3 linked regions of the Canis lupus familiaris genome follow. The protein of the gene in region 3 purifies or fractionates together with the protein of the main gene of each other region. This does not show direct contact. Links are inferred from orthologs where the notes say so. Each region holds a gene or a part of one and is shown on either strand. Other genes may lie near its edges.

What was found. Proteins that work in one complex are often made in the same cells at the same time.
Region 1: the proteins of PTPN6 (region 3) and CD72 purify together in Homo sapiens (affinity purification with western blotting; 3 studies listed by BioGRID). This does not show direct contact. The link is inferred for Canis lupus familiaris from reciprocal best matches to the Homo sapiens genes PTPN6 and CD72.
Region 2: the proteins of PTPN6 (region 3) and CD22 purify together in Homo sapiens (affinity purification with western blotting; 5 studies listed by BioGRID and IntAct, with this or other methods). This does not show direct contact. The link is inferred for Canis lupus familiaris from reciprocal best matches to the Homo sapiens genes PTPN6 and CD22.

The regions. Positions count from the first base shown.
Region 1 is NC_049232.1:52,470,535-52,476,175, reverse strand, and holds the start of CD72 (B-cell differentiation antigen CD72), read left to right. Parts: upstream 1-2,156; 5' UTR 2,157-2,306; coding exon 2,307-2,388; intron 2,389-2,474; coding exon 2,475-2,582; intron 2,583-3,241; coding exon 3,242-3,313; intron 3,314-3,859; coding exon 3,860-3,949; intron 3,950-4,493; coding exon 4,494-4,829; intron 4,830-5,641. UniProt on the Homo sapiens protein: Co-receptor of B cell receptor (BCR) that plays both positive and negative roles on B-cell functions. Recognizes the Sm/ribonucleoprotein (RNP) self-antigen ligand, and coligation of CD72 and BCR inhibits BCR signaling.
Region 2 is NC_049222.1:118,125,423-118,131,026, forward strand, and holds the start of CD22 (B-cell receptor CD22), read right to left. Parts: upstream 3,607-5,604; 5' UTR 3,429-3,606; coding exon 3,393-3,428; intron 1-3,392. UniProt on the Homo sapiens protein: Most highly expressed siglec (sialic acid-binding immunoglobulin-like lectin) on B-cells that plays a role in various aspects of B-cell biology including differentiation, antigen presentation, and trafficking to bone marrow.
Region 3 is NC_049248.1:8,003,673-8,009,213, forward strand, and holds part of PTPN6 (tyrosine-protein phosphatase non-receptor type 6), read left to right. Parts: intron 1-253; coding exon 254-333; intron 334-512; coding exon 513-662; intron 663-2,620; coding exon 2,621-2,752; intron 2,753-2,875; coding exon 2,876-3,030; intron 3,031-5,428; coding exon 5,429-5,496; intron 5,497-5,541. UniProt on the Homo sapiens protein: Tyrosine phosphatase enzyme that plays important roles in controlling immune signaling pathways and fundamental physiological processes such as hematopoiesis.

The sequences.
Region 1 (5,641 bases), on a different chromosome or scaffold from region 3:
TGCAAATACTCCTGCAACAGATCTACATAGGTGCTGCCCTGGCCCCCGTACCCCACTCCAAGTACCCTGACTGACCCTGCACCCCTGCCCCCAGCTGCTCTATAGGCTCCCACTCAGTCTCACAGGCCCCTGAGGCCCCCAGGGAGCCACCAACACGCACCATGGTCTGTTCTCTGGAGGAAGCCCTGATAGGATGACTGGGGGAGGGGACCCGGTTGTTGGAAACTTTAATTAAGCAAGGACGGTTAACAGCTGCAGGGTCACCTTAGGAAATGGTGAGCCTGAGAAAATAAATACATCTATCATCTGTCCCCATGGCCTTTTAAGACTTTTCTACAAACGGCTCATCATTCCTTGCCATGGAAAAAGATAACAGCCATCATGGGCACCCTTCAGCCCCCAGAATTCTCTGAGCTTCATCCTCCCAGCAGGTCTTGCCATAGATTCTCACCTCACACACACACACCTCCACAGATGGCCAAATCCAAGGATGCATGCTCACACGTGCACACTCACACACATGTACACCTGCCTATTCTCAGGTGACAACTGTACTTTTCTACTGCACTAGATCCTTTTTCTGGGAAGGCTGGGTGGTGCTGTCGAGCAGAGCTCTCAGGAGCCCCACGGGGCCCTGATGGCACCCCTCTACACACCACTAGTCCTACACCACAGCTGCTAGCATGTGGTGAGGACCTCTTTCTCCTTCCTTCTTCCTCCCCACAGGTGCAATGTGTGAAGAGGTTCTGCGGGGGCAGATGCCACCCACAGCAAGGGGGTTTTTTTCCCACCTACGTATCATGTCTTGTCTCAGCCTCTTTCCACCGGTGGAAGCAAGCCCTTCTGGAGTCATAGCTTGGTAAGAGAATGTTAGGGAGCACCTCTGAACCACTGCTCAACAGTCCTCCCTCCTCCTCCCTTCTGTCAGCCAGGCCTTCACCAGCCACGAGGGCCTCCTAGCCCTGACTCTTCTCCCACAAATACCCCCTTTGCCCTCGGGGCTGGGTGTAAGGGCACAATGTTAAGGCTTTATAAGGAAAGAACTTTACTAGGAAAGTAAAAAAAAGAAAACAACCAAATCCAGACCAAGAAAATATCAAAGCCTCAAATCCAGTGTCTGTGTGCTCAGCACCCAGCCCTGTTGTTTCCTTGCCTCCATTCTGTCTAAGCAGCTGCTGCCCTCTCATCCCCACCCAACTCCTTTGTTCACCTGCCCCCCGGGTCCCCACAAGGGTGCATAAGGGGTCAGTGCTGCAGGCTTTTCCAAAGGTGCATGAGCTAGGGGCTGTCCCTCATCCTTACCCCCAGCCCGGGCCTATCCCCAAGCCTGTGCCTCCTGGACTCAGCTCACTGCATCTAGCTCAGATGTTGGGACACAGGATGCCCTGAGTCCAGCATGGGGTAGGATGGGATGAGGAAGGGACTGACTGGCCAACGGTGTGATGGGTAGGGAACAAGGGTGGACAAGGCCAGGGAAAGGCTGTGAAGAGGGAATCTAGGGGAGTTTGTAGAAGAGAAACTGTGTGGTCCTAGCTCCTCTGCATCCTCCAAAGGCCTGCCACATTCTCAGGAAGGGCTTTGGAGTGAGAGCCTCCCTATGTGTGAGATCCTTAGCATCTGCAGGACAACAGCAGGAGTGGGAGGGTCTCCCCCCGCCCACCAGCCTCCAAACTGATAGGGAAATGAGCTCCACCAAATCGAGGGCCCCTTTCTGGGAACCCATACCTGCTGGGAACCCCAGGATGATGAGGAGCAAGGGCTCCACACTAGGACCCCTCCAATATGATGTGGAGGCTGGAGCTCCACTCTGCAGCAATGACTGGGGAGATCCTCTGGGTTTAGTCAGGCACCAAAGAGCTCTGACAACACATAGATAAGCCCATGGACAGAGCAGCATAGGGCAAATCAGGGTAGATGACCAGGAGGACAAGTATTTAGAGCCCAGCGCTGCCAAAGCGGGTCTGGGGTGCATGAAGGGGGAGCACAGGCAGGACACAGGGATGGGCCTGAATAGTGATCCAGTGACACCTCCATGCTGCAACCCCATGTTCTGGACTTCAGTTTCCCATCCCCTGTCCCTCTGGCAGAGGCTCAAGGATGCCATATGCTTCATTGAACCCATCTGTGTCTGACACTTGCTGACATCTTCCTCTTTTGCAACTGGAAGTCAGAGGGTAAAGCACTAAGCTGTGCAGTCACAGAAGGAAGACAGAGCCTCCGAGTGTGAAGGGACAGAGGGGAGAGTGGGAAGCTCTGGGGCTGGTGGAAGAAAGGGTAGACGGGTGGGAGCCGGGTTGCTCAGGGCAATGGCTGAGGCCATCACCTATGCAGACCTGCGGTTCGTGAAGGCTCCCCTGAAGAAAAGCATCTCCAGCCAGTTAGGACAGGGTAAGGGTGGGCAAGGCATCTCCTTGATTCCGCATCCCCAGGCTCCCTCATGACCCCACCCTCACCTCCACCATTTCTCTCTTCAGACCCAGGGACTGATGAGGATGAGGAGCTTACCTATGAGAATGTACAAGTGTCCTCAGTCTCAGGTGGGCCCTTGAGTTTGGCTTCTTCTGGAGTAGGAGACAAAGCAGGTACGGAGAGCCCAGAGAATGTGTGTGTGACCGGGCGGGCTGTGTGAGCGTGTGTCTGTGTCTTGAGCTGGGAGTCCAGGTATCCTTGGGGTGGGGGTGGGGGGGCGGCACAATATCCCTGGGAAAGGAGGGGGTGCTTAGGAGAGAGAAGAATGACCCGTGGATAAATGGGAGCCAGGGAAGAATAAAGAGCCCAGGGCCAAGGTGGAGATCCCAAAGGGGTGACAGGGGCTGCGGGGAGAGATTGGGGCAGCCCCTGTGAGGAGATGAATTCGGATGGGAAACGGGAAGTCACGGGACAGAGAAAGGGTAGGGGAGAGGGATGAGAGCACTTCTGGGGAGACGGTTGGGAAACGCGGATGCGGGCAGTGCTGAAAGAAACCTAAGGGGAGACCCAGGAGGGAAAGGAGGGGGTCCCGGGAGAGCGGATGCAGTAAGACCCAGGAGAGACAGGAGTCCTGGGGGAGATGCGGGACTCCGGAGAGTGCTAAGGGTGTCCCCGAGCATCACAGACGTCGCCGAAGGCGTCCGGGACCGGACTGGGGACGGGGCGGGGGGGGGGGGGGGGCGCCGGGGAAGGGGAGAGGGGGAGCTGGTGGGAAGAAGGGGAATTTCCCGGGGCTTCCCGACTTCGAACTCAAGTCGCCGCGGGTCCGCAGGGCTCCAGGCAGAGCAGCCAACTGCGTCCTGGGGCTCCGTGACGTCACCGGCTGCCGGGCGGCTCCTCGCGGGTGAGTCGCGGGCCCTCCCCGCCGGCGCGCGCCCCCGGCTGCAGGGCGGGGCAGCGCAGGGGGGCGGCGAGGGTCGCGCGGCGGGGGGGCTGGCCTGGGCCGGTGCCGGGCCCGGCGGTGCGCGGGTCGGCTCCCGGGAGTGAGCTCGGGGAGCAGCGCTCTGGGCGCGGCGGGCAGCCCCGAGGCCCCCTCCCCGCCCCTTCACCCCCATACCCGTGTGTATCATTCCCCCAGGTTGACCCAGATCTTCCCTCCTCCCCCTTTACGGTGTCCCCGTGCACATACCCCCTGTCCTCTGTCCCCGTCTGGGATTTGTTCCCATCCCACCAGGTATCGCTCCTCAATCCTTACCAGTAACGATTCCAGCCCTTATTCTGGAACACCTTCCTTCCGCTACCTGCGGAAACTCACGACCCGACGAACCCCACCATACCAGCACCAGTCCTCTGAGGGATACTCTTTCCCGTGAATATCCCCACTCACCCAGCCCCGCAGCCTACAAACTTTCCTGGGGCTCTCTGCCCTTCATCCCACTGTCTCCCTAAGGCCGTGCAGCCTGTATGCAGTACCTCTTTCTTGGCCTGCTCCTCACCTGCCTGCTGTTGGGGGTGGCCACCATCTGCCTGGGAGTGCACTGTGAGTATGACTGTCCCCCACTGCCCATGTACCCTGAGCAATATTCTCCCCTACTCTCCCCAACAGCTGCCCTTCCTCTGGGCAGGGCCCAGTCACTACCACTACATGCTTAGCTTTTTGTCTGGTTTCCAGCCAGGTCTGTTTTAGAGTGCCATGTCTTCCTAAATTGTCCTTACCTAACCCAGTACCTCCTTAAGCTTTAGGCAGTCAGATCTTACATTTCAGCCTGTTATGCAAAAATTTGCAAGAAGCAGAAAAACGGGGATCCCTGGGTTACTCAGCGGTTTGGTGCCTGCCTTTGGCCCAGGGCGCGATCCTGGAGTCCTGGGATCGAGTCCTGCCTCGGGCTCCCGGCGTGGAGCCTGCTTCTCCCTCCTCCTGTGTCTCTGCCTCTCTCTCAATCTCTGTGTCTATCATGAATAAATAAATAAATAAATCTTTAAAAAAAAAAAAAGAAGCAGAAAAAGGACTGACGCTGAAGAGTCAGGGTACCAGGGCATAGCTGAAGAAGATGTTCTTCAAATCTCTCATTATGGCCGAACAGATCTGCAGGTTTCTCAGCAGCTCCAGCAGACCAACAGGGTTCTGGAAACCACTAACAGCAGCCTAAGGCAGCAGCTCCACCTGAAGATAACCCAGTTGGGGAAGAGGGAAGAGGATCTACAGGGGTCCAGGAGGGAACTAGCCCAGAGTCAGGAAGCACTACAGGAGGAACAGAGGGTTTGCCAGGCCACCCAAGAGCAGTTACAGGCCTGCCAGTCTGAGAGGGAGAAGACAAAGGAGGCCTTGCAAAGTGAGGAGGAGCAAAGGAAGACCTTGGAGCAGAGGCTGAGCAGCTTTCAGGACACACTGAAGCTCTTATTCAGATGCCCCTTATCAGGTATCTGCTCCGGGAGAGGAGAGATGGGAGGGTCTGCTGTGAGGGATGGATTGAAGTGAAGAGACACTCCTGGCAGGGGTCTATCTGGCAGGGAGCCATTGGGTTGTTGAGGAAAGGGATAGCAAATGAGAGTGGTGGCCAACAGAGAGGAGGATCAAGGTGCATTCCAGATTTAGGGTGACTCACCTAACTCTAAGGCAGATCCTGCAGGAGGGAGGAGGGTGGCAGCCAACAATGCAGATCACACTGTCCAAAGCACCAAACTCAGGTCTCCCATGGCTTGATATCAGTGTCAAAGATCTGAGAAGCCCCTGAATTGGGTTGTGAAATTGGTTGTTTACACATTTTTCTAAAAAGAGGGTCTGTAGCTTTAATTATTTCTCGCTACATCTGAGATTCCCCAGGGGTTAAAAATTACTGATTGATGAAGTGCAGGCTGGTGGTGGGGCAAGGTAGCTAAAGCTCTCAAGCGTGGGTAGCACTCAGGATGAGGTGGGTGGGGGTAATGTGGGGTAGGGAGCTGGGGTGGAGAGTTCATCTATTTTGAAGGCAGGAGCCCAGGCAGTATGTGTGTGTGTGTGTGGGGGGGGGGGGGGATGAGGGAGGAGGCCGCATAAAAGGGGAGAGGCTGGGCAAGAAGCAGGCTGAGGTTTGAGGCAGGGAACCGGGCCCTAGGTGACTGGAATGTTTGTGGACTGGCTACCTATGGTCCAGGTTAGGCTCTGTCTAGCTCAGGGGGCATTGGGATACTCCCCCAAGGCTTAAGACGGTGAGATGATGTGCAGACACCCAGCTCTCATGTCTTTAGCCTT
Region 2 (5,604 bases), on a different chromosome or scaffold from region 3:
AATGCAAATTAAGAGCACAATGAGGTAATACTACCACACACCTATTATTATTAGACAGCTAAAATAAAAAAAATAGAAAAAAAATAGTGGCAATATCAAATGCCAGAAAGGATGTGCAGTAACTGAATCTTTTATATGTTGCTGGTAGGAATGTAAAATTGTCCAGCCACTTTGGAAAGCAACCTCAAAACAATTCCTCAGAAGGCTAAATGTATAATTACCATGTAACTCTTCACTCCACTCCTAGGTATACACACCCGAGAGAAAAAACATATCCACCCAGAAATTTGAACACAAATGTTCACAGTGACATTATTCATAAAAGCCAAAAAGTAGGAACAGCCCAGGTGTCCTTCAAGTGATGAATGGATAAACAAAATATGGTATATCCACACAATAAAATATTTAGCAATAAAAGGAAATAAAATACTGATAGATGCTGCCACACGAGTGAACGTGGAAACATTAAGTGAAAGAAGCTGATCACAACAGACCACATATTATATCATTCCATTTATATGAAATGTCTAGAAAAGGAAAATCTATAGAGATACAAAGTAGATTTAATGGTTGCCTAAAGCTAGGGTGGGGGTACTGGGAGGAAATGGCAGGTGACTGCTAATGAGTATGGGTTTATTTTGGGGGTGATGAAATGTTCTAAAATTGATTGTGGTTGGGGTGCCTGGGTGCCTCAGTCAGTAGAACATGAGACTCTTGATCTTCAAGTTATGAGTTTGAGCTCCACATGTGGTGTGGAGTTTACTTAAAATAAAACATTTTAAAATTGGTTGTGGGGATGGCTGCACAACTCTGAATATACATAAAACCACTGGACTGTGCACTTTAAGTAACTGGATTGTATGGGCAATTAGAAAATGGGCAAAAGTCATGAAGAGACATTTTATAGAAGGGGATACACAGATGGCTAATAAACACCCAAAGAGATGTTCAACATCACTAGCCAGCAGTGAAATGCAAATCGAGACTATGATAAGATATCACTACATAGCTATCAGAACAGCCAAAATAAAAGCTAATGACAAGACAACATGCTTGTGATGATAGAGTGAAACTGGATCAGTCATACATTGCTGGCAGGAACGTAAAATGGTTACAGCCACTCTGGAACATAGTTTGTGAGTTTCTCTAAAAACGAACAAAATACACCTACCGTACAACTCAGCAATTGCATTCCAGGGCGTATATCCACCCCCACACACACTGAAAACTTATGTCAACACAAAAACCTTTACACAATTGCTCACAGCAGCTTTATTTGTAATAGCCAAAAACTGGCAAGAACCAGCACGTCCCTTAGGAGGTGAACCGTTAAACTGTGTTCCATCCATACCATGGAGTGGCAATGGCACAGCACAATAGTGACACACACAACTCGGATGATTCTGACGGGCATTCCGCCGAGTAAGAAAAAGAGTCAACCTCAAAACGTCATAAACCATATGATTTCTTTTATGTAACATTCCTGAAATGACAAAATGATAGAGATGGAAAACAGATTACAGGTTGCCAGGGTCAAAGGGAAGTGGGCTTGACTACAAGGGAGAGCCTTGTGGTAAGGGAATAATTCTGGATCGTGATTGCAGTCATCGTCACATACATCTAGACATGTGATAAAAGGACTCGGAACTGTACACACACACTGTACTAATGCCACACTCCTCGTTTTGATACGCTACCATAATTGCATAAGATATGGGCAAACTGGACCTCTCTATTCAACCCATGCGATTTCCTGTGAACCTATAATTATTTCAAAATAAAAAGTTCTATTTTTGCAACTTCCCATGATTCTATAAGTATTTCAAAATAAAAAGTTATAATCCCCGGCAATCTCAATTGCTGGTGGGAAGGGTCCTGAAGGTCTCTGACAGGAGACCCACTGGGGACTGAAATCCCTGATAGCCACCTAGAAGGAGCACCTGTGGCCTCTGCTGGCATAACTCCAGGCATTGCTCACAGTAACAAGAGGAAACTGGGCAGCAAGCTGATGGACATGCCTTGCTGTCTGGTGGCCAAGGCCTATGGAGAAGGCCAGGGTGGAAGCACGACTCCGTGACATGGTGCCCTTACTCTTCCTTCCATCTTTTCCTCCAAAGAGGTAGATGGCCTCCATTTTGGGTGATCAAGTGTTCTAAATACTTTCTGTAACAGATGATTCTTTCCTGTTGATGAGTCTTCCTGTAACTGACAGTTCTTCCTGTAATTGACATCAGGTGGTATGGTGGGTGACCACCGTTTTGGGTGACTCCCCCTCCAACCCTCCAGGGAAGCAGTGGAGCTAGGCAACTAGGTGCCACTGTGAGCCCTGGCTATCACCCCCCACCTGACCATGTGCCCCAGGACTATAAGGTGAGGATAGTGATAGGGCCTTCCTCACAAGGTTAGGGCAGCCACACGTGTGATGCACTTAGCTGCATATGCAGCTGACGACAAGCATGTGGCAAACAGACCTGATTCAAATCCTAGTCCTACCAATTGTCAGTGGTGACGTCCCTCAGATTCCCTTCTTTTTTTTTTTCTTTTTAAAGATTTTATGTATTTATTTGATGGAGAAAGAGCACAAGCAGGGGGAGTGGCAGACAGAGGGTGAGGGAGAAGCAGGATCCTTGCTGAGCAGAGAGCCCAAAGTGGGGCTCCAGCTCAGGATCCTGGGATCATGATCTGAGCCGAAGGCAGATGGTTAACCGACTGAGCCACCCAGGCGGCTCCTGAGTTTCCCTTCTGAGGGAGCTGATGATATTGGATATTGGCAGCACCGACCTCATGGGCGGCCTGTGAGAAATCACGAGCACAGCAAGCACTTTGCACGATGGCTGTCATGGAATGAGCGCTCTGCAAAAGTGAGCTGTTATTGTTAGGGATATTGTCACTTGCTGTGCTTGACTCCATGATGACACTGAGTCACACACCTCTGGCTACTCAGCCCTACCCTGGGCTTGACAGAGAGACCCTATGGTTTCCCTCCCATTCCCCGGGGAAGGTATTCCAGACACACCAGACTGGGAGTGGGCCTTCTGCCTGTCTCCTCCTGTCCTGGGAGCAGGCCAGAGTCAAGAGCCAGGAGGGTGGGGAAGAAAGACACTTGGCTACTCCTGAGCAGTGCTGAGTGTCCCCAAGCCTGGCCCAGGGGAGGAGGCTTTGGAGTAGCCCTCTCTGGCCTGGAGACTTTTCATCAATGAGGATAACAGAGCCGCCTGGCACAGGCACTGTCCACAGGACAGGATTGGGGGCCACCAGGGTTGGCTTGTCTCAGCCAGGAGGGACCCGGGAGGTTGGCGGGAGAAGAGGGAAAAGGAGACCCACGTTGCCATGACCCTGGCCTGGTGCCCAGGTGTCCTCCTTCCTACATGGGGTGGCCTGTCCGTGCTCACCTCTACTCTAGCCCAACCAGCCGTCATCTCATGCATCTGTTCCCGTCTCTCCGAGCCACCGTGCCATGGGTTCTGAGTCTTCCTCAGCTTGTAATTTCCCAAGGGAGGGGTGCCATCAACTTTTTCCTGTTGACGTGGTCAGTGTAGATGGAACACACTTGTGTTCTCCTCAAACCCGTTCCTTCCACCGTCTTCGACAGCTGAGGAAGTGGCTATCTTGGATTCCTGTTTCCCTCCCCTCCAGCTTTCTCAAAGCTCCACCAATTCTTCTTACAAAAGAGGTCCTGACCTGTCCCCTCTCGCCATCTCCACTTCCTCTCACTTGGCCTCCTGAGCCCTCTGCCTGCATCTGCTGACCAGCTGTGCTCATTTTCCGCACAGCTGTCAGCGGGGTCTTAGAAACCTCAGCCCCTCCTTAACATTCCTCTGTGTATAATCCTCCAGCAACAACCCAATCTGCCCGAGTGAAAGCCTGAGTCCTAACCGTGGCCTCTAGGGCCTTCGGTGACGAGGCTCCCTTGGGCAGCTGCTCCGGCTCTCCAGCCCCCTCCAGGCAAGCTGGTCTCCTTCTCGCTCCTGAACATAACAAGTACATTCCCACCATGGGCCTTTGTGCCTGATCTTCGCTTTTCCCTGGATCTCCATTCCCCAGAAATGGACAGAATTCTCTCTCTTGCTTCCTTCCTCTCTCTACTCAAATGACCTCTTTCTAGAACAGCAGCCTGGCCCTGCACATTCCATCCTGCCCTGCTTAATTTCCTTCTTAGCATGCTCACTATCTGACCAACACTTGTTTATCTGATTGCCATCCATCCGTTCCACAGAATGTCAGCTCCACGAGGTCGGAGAGTGTTTCTTCTCGGTCACTATGATACCCCTAGAGCCCAGCATAGGCATGTCACATAGTAGGTGCTCAGTAAACATGTGTCGATGGAACAGATGAATTCTGGGAGAGTCCAGGACGAGGGGTGGAGCATGATATCCTGAATTTTGGTCCTCCTTGTGTGTCGTCACTGACTGTGAGTCCCTCCTACGAGATGGCCTTTGCATCAGATCACTTCATTCTTCCTAAACTTTAGAGGTTTGCCTATGACCTTCGAGACTTTCATCCTGTAAACCTTTATTTCCTACATCTCTTTAAATCATTCACTTGATTGATTTTTGTTTTTAACTTAGCTTCCTCCTAAGCTTGTATTTAAAAAAAATAAATCACCCGTTTGGTATGCCGGCTTCTCTTTGTTCTGATCATGCTAATATGTTAATACATATTAACACAAAAGTTGCTGTCCATTCCTCCTGGGATCCCCTGGCTCATCAGCATGGTGCTTGGGTAGCCCTCTGGACAGCACAGGGTTACTCAGTCCCTCATTATTGACAGTGCTCTGCTCCTCAGGGCGAAGTCCTTCGGGGCATTCCTCCCAGGCCAGACCTGCTGGAGCCAGGGTCTGTTGTCAGAGCACAGGTGTGTCAGGGCGGGGTCCATGCTCGTGTGCAGGAGATCCGGTGGGGATGGCCCCTGGAGCTGCTGTGAAGCCGCTGCCGTTCTCTGCCCCGTCCCTGACCACTCTCCGGCCTTATTTTCAGCCCCTGGGATTTTGCCAAACATCTTCCCACTTGGGGCCTTCACATACAGTGTCCTTGTGGGACTTTCCTGTCATTGGGACACCTCCCTGGGCTCCTGAGATCCCAACACACACTTCCATTCTGTGCTCTAAAAGCCCCCCTTGCACGTCTCTCAGGAGCAGGTGCCACAGGTGACAAGGGTCCCTTGGGCAGCTGTCAGCAAGTCAGGCATTATGCATGAGGTCATTTGGTCAATGTCCTCTTCTCTACAAGACTGAGAGAGCCCCACGAGGAAGGGGCTCGGGCAGGCATCGGGTGTCAGTCCCCTCCCCGCCGCTCACAGCCCCACTACCACCCTCAGCCCCACTACCACCCACAGCCCTGCCCTGCTCCTGCACGTGGACTTCCCATTCCCATTCCGGCCTCATCACCTTCTCTCTCAACATGGTTTGGTTAGTCCTGCCTCTTGGTCTTGACTGTGGTCTCTGTGGTATCCTCTGCCTTCATCAAAAACTAGGGGAGAACAGCCCTGTTCAGGAGCCACACCCAAATGGCAGCTCTATTCTCAGTGCTCTCTTAACCCCATTTGGCCCTTGAGCCCCTGTTGCTTCTCACCAAGATGACGGAGCGCACAGTAGTGAGAGCTCTG
Region 3 (5,541 bases):
TCCAGGAAGCCTCTGCTCCTGTCAGGGGAGCCTCCTCACATCCCGCCATCCACCCTCCTCCCCACCATCCACCATCCTCCCTCCTTGGAAACCTTCACCCCCCTTCCCCTGCAGATCCTCCACCCCTGCCTTCCCACAGTGCTCTAAGAGCCTCCTGGCTTCTGAGACAAGAATGGCCTGTGAGCATAGGAAGGGTCTAATCCAGGGGCTGGTGAGCTCTTGGCTGACCCAGGCCTGTCTTGTTTCCTCCCAGTTGACCACACCCGAGTGATCCTGCAGGGACGTGACAGTAACATCCCTGGGTCCGACTACATCAACGCCAACTACGTCAAGGTTGGTGGCACCCACTTGTCAAGGGAGGAGAAGCCGGGCCCTGGGGATTCCCCGTCTCTGGGCGGGTGCTAGATCCAGAGACATGTAGGCAAGGCTGAAGCCGGCCAGTTAGCAGGTGAGTGGGGGGAGGGTGCAGGGACTCACAGTCCTGGGGTGCAGCTCTCTACACTTGCTTCCAGAACGAGCTGTTAGGCCCCGATGAGAACACTAAGACCTACATCGCCAGCCAGGGCTGCCTGGAGGCCACAGTCAATGACTTCTGGCAAATGGCATGGCAGGAGAACACCCGCGTCATCGTCATGACCACCCGGGAGGTGGAGAAAGGCCGGGTAAGGCCGAGTCCTATACTGTCCCCTGGTCCCCACCTCCAACCCCTCCCCAGTGCTTGCTCTCCACCACCATTAAACCAGAGAAACTCCAGATACCAGGGCAGGAAGGAACCTCAGAGGGCAAGGTCCAACCCTTGTTGGGAAACTGAGGCACAGAGACACTCTTGGGGATATACTATCTCCCAGATCCCTTCTTCCAACCTGGGGCTCTCCTGACCACCAGACTCAGGTTTTATTTGTTTATTTTTATTTTAAAAAATATTTTATTTATTTATTCATTAGAGATACACAGAGAGAGGCAGAGACACAGGCAGAGGGAGCAGCAGGCTCTCTGTGGGGAGCCAGATGTGGGACTCGATCCCAGGACCCTGGGATCAGGCCCTGAGTGGAAGGCAGACGCTTAACCGCTGAGTCACCCAGGCATCCCTATTTTTATTTTTTTAAGATTTCATTTATTCATTAGAGAGAGAAAAAGCACATGAGTGTGTGTGTGTGTGTGTGTAGGGGGGGGAGTGCAGAAGGAGAGGGAGAAACAGATACCCCACTGAGCAGGGAACCCCATGTGATATGGGGCTCCATCCCAGGATCCTGAGATCAGGACCTGAGCTGAAGTCAGACGCTCAACTGACTGAGCCACACAGGCACCCCCAGACCCAGGTTTTATTTTTTTTATTTTTTTTTATTTTTTTATTTTTTTTATTTATTATTTATGATAGTCACAGAGAGAGAGAGGCAGAGACACAGGCAGAGGGAGAAGCAGGCTCCATGCACTGGGAGCCCGACGTGGGATTCGATCCTGGATCTCCAGGATCGTGCCCTGGGCCAAAGGCAGGCGCCAAACCACTGCGCCACCCAGGGATCCCTTTTTTTTTTTTTTAAATTTTTATTTATTTATGATAATCACAGAGAGAGAGAGAGAGAGAGAGAGAGAGAGAGAGAGAGGCAGAGTCACAGGCAGAGGGAGAAGCAGGCTCCATGCACCGGGAGCCTGACGTGGGATTCGATCCCGGGTCCCCAGGATCGCGCCCTGGGCCAAAGGCAGGCGCCAAACCGCTGCGCCACCCAGGGATCCCTAGACCCAGGTTTTAAATGGGCTTTCTTCCTTAAAGTGTCCCTTGCCAGAAGCAACCTGCCTCCTGTCCTCTCTGCCTCATAACTCTCTCTGGAGTCTGCCCCTCACCCTCACCCTCACCCCACTGCCCAGCTGGCCTCCCTCCCTGTGGGCTGCCCCCTCCTCCCACATGTCTGCACAGAAGTCAGAGGGGTCCCTCTTAGAGCATGCACTGCATCAAGATGCTCCCTGGCTCCCTGGGAATTTTTCGGTGGCTCCCAGTTGTCTTCCGGATAAAGTCACACTCTAAGACCTGGCACTCAAGGCATGGTGGCTTCCCTACAACGTTCCGCCCTGCCTCAGGTTCTCACGCCTTGGCACAAGCTTGCTTTCTGCTAGGAAAGGACTTCCTCTCTCTGTACTATCTCTGCTGGACAGACTCCTCATTTTTGAAGACCCTGCTCAAATGCTCCCTCCTCTGTGAAGCCACCTCTGATTTCCTCCATAATCTAGAGGGAGGGTTACCCTCTCCCTCTGTACCCTGTGCCCCTGAGTGGCTCTGTTTTCCCTGCTCTGCTGTCTCTCTGTGAATACATAGAGACATAGAGGCCCAGATTGCTTTGTAGTTATGTTTGGGACTCCAGCATGGTCTGTACAACTTCAGATACGTTGTGTGCCCCAGCCGGTGTTTACTGAATGAATTGTAAGGCCAAGTGGCTCAGTCAGGCCTCACCACCTGCTGGTGGCCAGCAGGACCAGATCCCCCCTCTGACTCTTGGCCAGCATCTCCATTCATCCAGCAAATGTTAACTGGGCCAGCACCAGGGACTCAGGATCTCAAAAGGGGCCTGGAACATGCCCCCATACATTCTGTGCCTCATTTCTCACTGCCACCCTCCCTTTGCAGAACAAGTGTGTCCCGTATTGGCCAGAGGTGGGCACTCAGCGTGCGTATGGACCCTACGTAGTTACCAACTGCAGGGAACATGACGCTGCAGAGTACAAACTCCGTACTTTACAGGTCTCCCCACTGGAAAATGTGAGTATTCTCCACTCCTGCCTCACTCCTGGGGCCCTTCCTTGGATCTGTTGTTTTGTCTGGTTGGGTGGGATGGGGAGATGTGTGGGAACAGAGGGCACTGGCCCTATGCGCTCTGCCCAGGAGGACCTGGTTCGGGAGATCTGGCACTACCAGTACCTGAGCTGGCCTGACCATGGGGTTCCCAGTGAGCCTGGAGGTGTCCTCAGCTTCCTGGACCAGATCAACCAACGGCAGGAAAGTCTGCCTCATGCAGGCCCCATCATTGTGCATTGCAGGTGAGAACAATAATGATGTGAGTAGTAGTAATAAAAATAAAAGAGAGGTCCTGAGATCAGGACCTGAGCTGAAGTCAGATGCTCAACTGACTGAGCCACCCAGGCACCCCCAGACCCAGATTTTATTTTATTTATTTATTATTTATTTATATTTTATGATAGTCAGAGAGAGAGAGAGAGAGAGAGAGAGAGAGAGAGGCAGAGACATAGGCAGAGGGAGAAGCAGGCTCCATGCACCGGGAGCCCGACGTGGGATTCGATCCCGAGTCTCCAGGATCGCGCCCTGGGCCAAAGGCAGGCGCCAAACCGCTGCGCCACCCAGGGATCCCCAGACCCAGGTTTTAAATGGGCTTTCTTCCTTAAAGTGTCTCTTGCCACCGAGGCAAGATAAAAAACAAAAAACAAAAAACAAAACAAAACAACTTTTATTTTTTTTCAATAAAAATAAAAGTAGTAGCTGGCTAGTAAATACTGCTAACTCAGTGCCCTGGAAGCACTAATTTACATGTTAACGCATTAAATGCCTCCGCCTGCTCATGGCCTCATCCGGGCTCCTTGATGGTTCCAGATCCAAGGCGGAAGCGTAGCTTGAGCTAACCCCACTGATTGATCCTGTGCCTGAGGGGTGGCTTCTTTAGAGACTTCCCTGTACGTACCATCTCACCCAACCCTGCCAAATACCCATGAGGAAATAGGCCCAGCGACTTGCCAGCTGGCCAGCGGGAAAGTGCACTGACGCTCACCACACACCTAGGCTCTGGTCGCTCCTGTTGTCTCTCACGGGCTTCCTCAGCCTGTATTTCTTCTTGGGCCCTGCCACCTTCTATCTGGGGTCGGTGTGGCTCTCCATTTTTTCTTTTTTCTATCCATAGCCCCAGGGATGCTTAGCCTTCCTCTTTCTCCCCCTTCCCAGCTAGTGACCCCAGCTTGGCCTCCAGGTTGTGTGGGGATGGGTGATGTCTTCCAAAGGGGCACATGTATCTCTAGGTCACTGGAGGACCTCGTGTTCATGATCAGGAGACCCTGTTCCTGCTAGGCAGCAAGGGGGGTGCGGTCAGCAAGGAGGAGTGAGGGGCAGAGTCCTCACTGACCTGGCCTGGGTCCGTGGGGGGCCGTGGGTGCAGGTTCCTGGACAGACACCGTAGATTAAAATTCTGGCTCTTCTACTCACTGGCTGTGTGTGTGATCTCAGACAAATTACTTCACTTCTCTGACCCTTAGATTCCTCATTTGTCACTGCAGGCTCTCCTGTGGTTGATGTGAGGATTCAATAAGCCCCCGTCCCTGTGTCTGGAACGTAGTAATCCCTCAAGAAATGGGAGCCGTTGCTGGTTTAATAACTCCCATTAGGCTGGGAATGGGGAAATGGGAGCCTGCTTCATCTGCTTCCCTTCCTACTCCCTTCAAGTGACCCCAGGCTGGGGCCTCACATGTCTTCCTTCTTCCCACCAGCAACTTTTGCCCTGGGGCAGGGCTGGGTGGGCTGAATCTGGGGGTGCCCCTCACATGTCATCTCAGGGACTCTGCCTCTGGGGGCCGGCCCATTGCTAAGTACGACCCTCCTGTTACTCCCCTTCCACTTCTTGAAATCCCCATGGCCTTTATTTAGATGTTACAGGAAGGAAGTGGGTAAGGGGGGGTTATTTTTGACAATCTGGGTTTGAAATTAGTGCAACTCAGGCCACTAGCCTGGCGGCCCCGCGAAGCAGACAGAACTGGGGTCTCTGAGGGATCCTGAGTTTCCTGGGATCTGTTTGCTCTAGGATGCTGGTGGAGGGTGGGGAAAGAAGGGAGACCTCACACTTCACACAGCATCTCCGCATCATCTCCTGACCCCAGTGACCTTTCTGCCCTGCTGCCTCAAGGGCTGCCCTTTCCTGGTCTTCAGGGTCTGAAAAAAACGGGAAACAAAGTCCTCTCGAAAGAAGATCTAAATAAAACTTTTGAAGAGTGCGAGGTGGGGCTGGGGTGTGCAGTGGCGGGGAAGCCTCATTCAAGCCAAGGGTGCGGGAGAGGGTCAGGGGAGGCCCAGAGTGCCAGAGTGGGTGGGGGGAGGGACCCTGGTGGGCTGAAGAGCAGCCCCCAGCCAGCAATGAGGAGGCAGAGCAGGAAGTGGAAGGGTGAGATGCTGGAAAGAAGGAAGGCCAGGCGGGGCGGCCCTGGGAGAACTGGGCCCACCCACAAATCCCTTGGCTGAAGTGTTGAGTGCAAGTGCCCGGAACTCAGGGTCCGGCAGGCTTCTGCCTCTGGTTAGGCTGCCCAGTGACCCCGGGCACGTTACCTCATCTCGCCGGAGCCTCAGTTTCATCCTGCCACCGTGCTGGAGTTGAACGCTGGGGCTCTCCCTTCCTGGTGAGGCATGGCCGGGGCCTCTGATGGTGCCCCCTTCCCTCCCCAGTGCAGGCATCGGCCGCACAGGAACCATCATTGTCATCGACATGCTCATGGAGAGCATCTCCACCAAAGGTGAGGGTGACCCATGGGCGATGCAGGTGTTGGGGGTGTTGGGTG